Linked DNA regions of Callithrix jacchus. The protein of the gene in region 1 binds, or shares a complex with, the protein of each later gene. Links are inferred from orthologs where the notes say so. Each region holds a gene or a part of one and is shown on either strand. Other genes may lie near its edges.

What was found.
Region 2: the proteins of RANBP9 (region 1) and GID4 are in contact, whole or in part, in a cryo-EM structure (PDB 7NSC), measured with the Homo sapiens proteins. The link is inferred for Callithrix jacchus from reciprocal best matches to the Homo sapiens genes RANBP9 and GID4. Residues at the interface, in NP_005484.2 of Homo sapiens: Ser223, Lys224, Gly225, Arg226, Asp227, Gly228, Tyr229, Met230, Gly256, Asp257, Thr274, Phe275, Thr276, Thr277; in NP_076957.3 of Homo sapiens: Leu187, Arg189, Asp194, Glu195, Asn216, Asp218.

The regions. Positions count from the first base shown.
Region 1 is NC_133505.1:17,020,698-17,024,344, forward strand, and holds part of RANBP9 (ran-binding protein 9), read left to right. Parts: intron 1-3,209; coding exon 3,210-3,394; intron 3,395-3,647. UniProt on the Homo sapiens protein: May act as scaffolding protein, and as adapter protein to couple membrane receptors to intracellular signaling pathways. Acts as a mediator of cell spreading and actin cytoskeleton rearrangement.
Region 2 is NC_133506.1:69,115,109-69,119,224, reverse strand, and holds the start of GID4 (glucose-induced degradation protein 4 homolog), read left to right. Parts: upstream 1-1,238; 5' UTR 1,239-1,310; coding exon 1,311-1,748; intron 1,749-4,116. Other genes in the region: ATPAF2 (ATP synthase mitochondrial F1 complex assembly factor 2), read right to left, coding at 713-845.

The sequences.
Region 1 (3,647 bases):
GAGGCAGGAGAATCGCTTGAACCCAAGAGGTATAGGTTGTGATGAGCAGAGATCAGGCTGTTGCACTCCAGCCTGGGCAACAGAGAAAGACTCCATCTGAAAAAAAAAAAAAGAAGAAGAAGAAGAAGGAAAAGAAAATACACTTTAGAATCAGTGGCTGGTTAGAGTTTAATTTGCGTTGTGTTTTCCTACACATAAAACAGTGATATTTGTTGTTATTAGAATCTGAGATTTGATGAATGTGGTATAATGTCACCTATCTGTGGATATTTTAAAATTTTGTTTGCATTACAAATAATGCTACAAGATATGTCTTTGCACATGCTTGCTTTGAATAAACTCAAGTGAAATTACTGTCGATTTTAATAGATTTTTCCACATTTCTTTATTAAAAGATTATGTCACTTTACATTTCTGTGTGCAATAGATGAGGTTATTTTCCCAACCCTTATCAACATTGGTTATTCTCAGCCTTCCAAGTGTTAATCTGATGTTCAAAAAAGTTTTTAATCTTGCATTTTAAATTTAATTGATTTTATTTTAAGTACACATTAAAAAATCTGCATCTAAAGACTTGAATGCAATTAAGCGTGTCTATATGTTGTCATTTTTATTTCTTCTACAAATTGTCTACATATTCATTGCCATTTTTAAGAATTTGAACTGGTAGTCTTTGTCCTCCTGAAGTGTGAGAATGTTTTCTATATTTGGAATACACATTTTGCCATATGCATGGTACATTTTTTTTTTCTAGAAAGTCATTTGTCTTTGCCATTTGTGGCATGTTTTGTCATAGGGAATTTTAAATTTTTATGAAAGTTTTATCAGATAATTCATGAATGTTGATTGTCTTTGATAGTGTTGACAGAATTATTTTTCTAAATTTGTTAGACAATTTAGATGAGCAAATCATTTTGAAAGTGTCTTTATTTAGACAATACTGAATATCATAATTGTAAACTTTGCTTAATGATAAAATTGCCTTTCACTCTGTTGATTTCTTTATTGTTTTTGGCTTATATGCTTTTGTTTTAAAGTATCTCATAACTCTAGTGGGTTTTAAGGCAAAGAATACTATGCTAGAAGTAGAGAAATGTGAGGTTCTTTTTTTTTCAAGTGCTGCCATTAGCAAGCCGTGTGCTTTTAAATTGTTTCTGTAAAATCCTTTTCTTGTTTTCTTGTTTTTTTTTTTTTTTTTGAGATGGAGTCTCACTCTGTCACCCAAGCTGGAGTGCAATGGCATCATCTCAGCCCACTACAACTTCCACCTTCTGGGTTCAAGCAATTCTCCTGCATTAGCGTCCCAAGTGGCTGGGATTACAGGCGTCCGACACCACATCCAGCTAATTTTTGTATTTTTAGTAGAAATGGGGGGAGTTTTACCATGTTGGCCAGGATGTCTCGATCACTTCGCCTTGTGATCCGCCCGCCTCAGCCTCTCAAAGTGCTGGGATTACAGGCGTGAGCCACCGCGCCTGACCTATTTTTTTCTTTTTTTGAGTTGAAGTCTCGCTGTTGTTGCCCAGGCTGGAGTACAATAGTGTGATGTTGGCTTACTGCAACTTCTGCCTCCTGAATTCAAGTGATTCTTCTGCCTCAGCCTCCCAAGCAGCTGGGATTACAGGTGCATGCCACCACACCTCACTAATTTTTGTATTTTTAGTACAGACAAGGTTTCCCCATCTTGTTCAGGCTGGTCTTATACTCCTGACCTCAGGTGATCCACCCACCTCAGCCTCCCATGGTGCTGGGATTATAGGCATGAACCACCACACCTGGCCTGTTTCTATAAAGTCTTTAGGTCTCCATTTTCTCATTGGCGAAATGGGAACGCTGTACTGTCTCACCTGTTTTTAGCTTAAAAGTCTATAAACCTGTTAGGTTTGTAAGTCTGTAAACCTTTAGCTCTGTTGATTATTAAGAATCTACATTTGCATACTTTGCTTTAACCATTTATTTCCATAATTCAGTAGTACTTTGTTGATGTTTGGCCGCAATATTTATTTTGTTTCTTATTTGTTCTGCTTGATCAAATAGTTGTTTTAAAACATATCCTCTTTAGCATTTTATTGTGAAAACTATTTAACATCTTTATTCACACCGAAATTATCCACTCTTGATCTTTACCTTGTTTTGTACTGAAAATACTTATTATAACTATTAAATCAAAGATATAAGACATAAATACAGAAAACAAAAATATGGTAGGATTTGGAGTTACAAGAGGAAAAAATCCGTCATGGATGTGGTATAGACAAACTTGTGTGTCAACTCCATTTCTGTCACTTGTTAGCAGAATGACCATGAGCAAGTTATTTAACCTTGAATCCTCATTTTCTCTATCTTTGTAGTAGAAATAATAAGAGTGACCTCACAGAACTATTATGATTAAACCCTGGCATTTAGTAGACACTTGGAAACTCATTCTCCCTTTAGATGTAACAACCAATTAGTGACACAGCCAAAAGAATGACTCCTCTATTTTTTTGTATACTTGAGGTTACCACCTTTTCATCTTGAGTAACCTTGAAATCCTGGAGTGTACGTGAATGCATTTCTGAGTTTAGGTATTTAAATTAATCCTTTTCCTCCCTTGAAATATGTACACTTGAGTTTTGTTTTTTCTAATTTAATATAGAGAATCCCCACTCTTCATGGCACTGTGTTTTGCTTGTAGTTAAGGTCTTATCCCCTTCCCTTTGTAAAGTTAGGCATCCCAAATGTGCAGAATGAAAATAGTAAATTTAAGCTATTACATGCCAGACTAGCTGAGATTGTACTTTTATGGTAACTAGCTTTAACATGCAATTTATAGAAATGTATCATATAAAATCTGGGGTAAACCTGAGTTATATGTTTATATTTGAATTTCTATAACTACTATATGACATAATCTTTAGAACAAGAATTACATCTCTATATATTAGTAGCATAGTGCCACATGTTATAATACAACGTTGTCCCTGAATCAGTAAAATAGAGATCTTGGGTTGCTATGTTTTTTCTTGATGATTAAATTGCAGGAAGTGATATTTTTTCATCTAACATACAATGTATTTTAGATCATTTGTTTTAGCCTTCTAATATTTTGACTGGGATTTTAAAATATAAAGTAAATTTATAGTTCTGCTCTTTTAAAGATAACATTAAAATAATATTAAATCTAACATAAAATGGATAGCTGTTTAATGAAATATGTTATCTTACAGCCAAATTTGTATCCTACTGTGGGGCTTCAGACACCAGGAGAAGTGGTTGATGCCAATTTTGGTCAACATCCTTTCGTGTTTGATATAGAAGACTATATGCGAGAGTGGAGAACCAAAATCCAGGCACAGATAGACCGATTTCCTATCGGAGATCGAGAAGGAGAATGGCAGACCATGATACAAAAGTAAGAGTGAAGAAATTTGAATTGACATTATTCAGAATATATTTTTTATAAGACATTTATTCTTTTGGTATTCATGGAAACTTTTTAATCAGTTTATATACTAATATCTCTACAATGTTACTGATTTTATTCTCTCAACAAAAAGTAATTTACTCCACTAAACAAATTAAAAACAATTGATGACACATATAGAATTGTATTTCTGTCTGAATTAATTGGATGGAGGAAATAAAATGATAGGTCATCTAGGCTA
Region 2 (4,116 bases), on another chromosome or scaffold:
CTTAAAGACTACTGCGCCTCCTGCCCCCAGCACAATAAAAGTAATTGAATGGTGGCGGGAGGGTGTTACTGCTCTTCCTTCACTGAAATGAGTCATTTGCCCTCTCACCCTAACACCACTCACTATCAGCAACAAAAGAGCCACAACTTCTAAGCTTCATCAGAGTTGGAGGTGGAGGTGATTCCAAAATCAGAGATGGAGGTGTCAATTTCTATTTAGGAGAGAGAGAAGGCTGCAGATGGCAGGGGTTGCACAGGATGGAAAGTCAGGAAACCTGCAGCTAAAGTGCCCGGGATGGAGGACTGATTGAACTTGGCCCTTCTGTGCAGGTCTTATGTTGGGCAGTGGAGACATAGAAAGCAGTCAGACTCCAGAAACCCGAGTCTGCTCTGTAACCTAGGCGAAGTTCTGATTCAGGGCCCAAACCTCCCCTTTGGAAAACAAAGATGACACTTGCTTTCCTCATTAAAGAGAGGGCAGCCATAAGCTTTGAGAAAAGCTGCCCAGGCCAAATATCAATTAATGTCTCGTGCAGGACGCGCTGTTCCCCCTCGGGTCGTCTGCCTTTGTTTGGGCTTCTCTTTCTCGTCTGTAAAAGGACCCGACTGGCCTGCATAACCTCATGAGCCTGAACCCTGCCTCAGTCACACCGCCCTGCACAGCAGAAGTCCGAATTCCACCTTACCCCCAGCTCGGCCCTTCATGGCCTCACCTGTCGGCGGGGCGTAAGCCCGGGCTGGAGACAGGATGGTTAGCCCCGGACTCTTAGAAGCGCTGGGGCCACCCGCAGGCCGATTCAGGAGGCGGCGTCCCCCGTCCCGCAGCCGGTGACAGCTCCTCCACATCGCGCCCGATAGTCTGGGAGGATGCGCAGCGTGAAACCTAGAGCAGGAAACGGAGCGAAGGGACCTCCAAAGCCGCACGATCGGGCTGTACGGAAACCTCTCACCGCCCCCTCAGAGCCCGCAGCCTCCCCTGGATGCCGCCATCTTCCACATGACACCAACGGCGTGCCGTCGCCGCCGCACGCCTCCTGCGCACACCCCCAGTCAATTAGCATCACAAACGCGCCTCGCTCCGCCCCCTCCACGCCGCGCCTCAGCGAGAAGACCACAAGTCCCAGCGGGCCGCTCGCGCACCCCACCACGTGCTTTCTCCTCCCGCCAATGGGTGGAAGCGCCGTGTAAACCTGTTCCCGCCCTCACCGGCTCGCCCGAGCCAATCGGAAGGGGCGGGGTGTGTGTTTGTGCGTGCGCGCGCGTGCGTGTGTGTGTGTGTCTGTGTGTGTGTGTGTGTGTCTGTGTGTGTGTATGTGTGCGCGAGGGCAAGTCGGGAGGGGGACCCAGCTCAGGACTGGGAGGCCCTGCTCTCAGGTCCCTGGGTCGCGGTGGCGGCCGAAGCGCTTAGTTTGCATACAGCGGACGGGTGGTCGCCCCTCCCGCCCCCACCCTGCGCGTGCGCGCCTCGGCCTCTCCCTCCCAGCCACCCTCCTTGGCTCCCGCGCGGCGGCGGCGGTTCCTCTCCCACTCCCCCCAGCCCTGGCTCCGGGGGACCCCGCGATGCCGGTCCGCACCGAGTGTCCCCCGCCAGCCGGTGCCTCGGCTGCCTCCGCGGCCTCACTCATCCCGCCGCCGCCCATCAACACCCAGCAGCCCGGCGTGGCCACCAGCCTGCTCTACAGCGGCTCCAAGTTCCGCGGCCACCAGAAGAGCAAGGGGAACTCGTACGACGTAGAGGTGGTGCTGCAGGTGAGCGCCGGGCCGGGCCGGGGCCCGAGGGCCTCCTCGCGGCGCTCACGGGCCGTGCCCGTCTCGGCTCCTCGAGCCGGCAGCCGCGGAGCAGGCCCTCGTCGCCGGGGCCTCCTGCACCCGGCGCTTCCCACCCGGGACCTGCCCAGCCTGTGCCTCACACTCTCCGAGCCCCAGCCCTGACCTGCCCCCTCAGATCCAGAGCCCGTCAAGACCCGCTTCTGGCGGACCCCGAACACTCTCCCAGACTTGAAGCCGGTGACCGGCCGGTCCGGGATCCGGAAGCCCCCATGACTCGGGGAAGGCCCGGGTCCTCCCTCCTCATGACCTGCCGTCCCTACATCAGGGACTGCCACGAGCCCTTTTCAGACCCTGAAGAACTCTCCATTGGTTTCACCAGACTCTGGACACTCCCCGTGTCTGGGCCCATGTCAGATTCAGAACTGAGTCCTGCCCTCCCGCCTCTTCCTCAGTCCCAGGAATCCGCAGACCCTGGGGGCTTCCTCTTCCTGAGATCTCCTTAGGAGGGCTTCATCAGACCCCTCAGACGGGGGAACACCAAACGCACCACTGATTGGTCAGGCCCTGGCCCCACCTCAAGACCAGACACTCACTCCCTGAGTGCTGCTCACAGTCTGCTGGGATCTTGCCTCCTGGGTCCCCTGTTCCACTCGCTGCTTCCCTCTCTTCATGCTCCAGGCACCCAGCCCCTTCCAGCTGCTCCACCTCCCAGCCTCCTGCCCCTGCTCTGGGACCACTTGCAGTCTTCTAATCTTCCTGGCATCTGTCCAGATTCCCCACCCCATATCTTCGTCTTGCTCGATCCTGGTTCCAGGGGACCCTGTTTGCTGTTCTTAACTTTTCTCTACACAGGCACAGGGCTTCCTCCCAGTGTCTGAGACCCATGTACTGGGAAATCTAACTCACCCAGTTTTAGTTCATGTCCAGCAGCCTCCCTGCATTTGACCTGGATTCCTGAATACCTGCTGCCAGTTCCTGATCAGCCTTGGAAGTACAGCTTCACCTGTGTGGGCCTTTCCCACACCTCACTCCTCTCAGGCCTGACACTTTTTGCCAGCTGAAATACTGCCCCCCGGGTGTGAGGGTGAAATGTACAGTGTATCTGTTCCTCAAGCTTGCCTTTTGACGGGTTAAAACTCTAAATCTTAGTTTTACTTCTGAAGAGTAGGTATCCCATTCAAAAGACAATGAGGGTGCCTTTTCTTTCTGCTATCTGCAGAGCAGGCATCACTCTTTCATTCTCATACTGCTGTGTGGGAGTAAATAGTTTTCTCTGCTTACTTGAAACAGCATCATCATGTTAATTTTATCTTTGGTCTGTAAAGTTCTAACATGAACCACAATCTTTATTATAATGGAAAAACTATTGTGGTTGAAATATTTTTGTCTTCATAACTATATGCCTAATGTGGTGATCCTCTTCTTGTTTTCTTAAAATGTGAACATCATTTCGGTTTGTTTTGCACCTAATCAGAATTCTGGAGGTGAGAACCCAGGGTGGGTCATGTTTGGGATGGTGTTGGATTTGTCCCCATTGTTGAGTTTGATGGTTTCTCATGTAGTAGGGGATAATTGGCAGGGTAGCCAGGTGTCAAAGGGGAGTCTGCTTTGACAACTGCAGCAACTACTGCTCCCTTCTGTCATTTGGGTGTCACTTCTGAGCTCCTGTCAGAAGGAGAATCGTGAACCAGTGGAAGCGGTGATTGAGTTGGGACAGGGCTGATAGGTCTCAGGCAGCTCAGAGCAGAAACCTGGCAGATGGCTGGGAGCCACTTGAGTAGGAAGTCTGCTGGTGGGGATGGTGGTCATGCCAAGGAATGCTGCCCTACATCTGGATTGGGGAGCTGCTTGGTCATCATCACGACTACTTAGTGGTATGTGAATTGCCCCATCAGCTGGTTTTTCAGTCAGGACTAGTTTCTCAGATACAGCCTTCTTAGACACAAAATACTTCTGCCTTTTACAACTCTCCTTCCTTCCTTCCTCCCTCCCTCCTTCCCTTCCACCCTCCCTTTTTCTTTATTTAGATACAATTCACTTATTTAAGGTGTACAGTTCAGTAGTTTTTAGTATATTCACATTTGTTAAACCACCACCACAACCTAATTTTAGAACCTTTCATCACCCCAAAAAGAAACCTTGTACCCCTTAGCCATAACGCCCACTTCAATCCTAGGCAACTCCTCATCTATTTTTTTTAATTTGTCTATTCTGGACATTTTATATAATCATACAGTGTATGTCCCTTTGAGATTGGCTTTTTTCACTTAGCATAATGTCCTCAAGTTTCATCCTTATCATTATACATAGCAGCACTTACATTTCATTTTATTGTTGCATTGTTCAT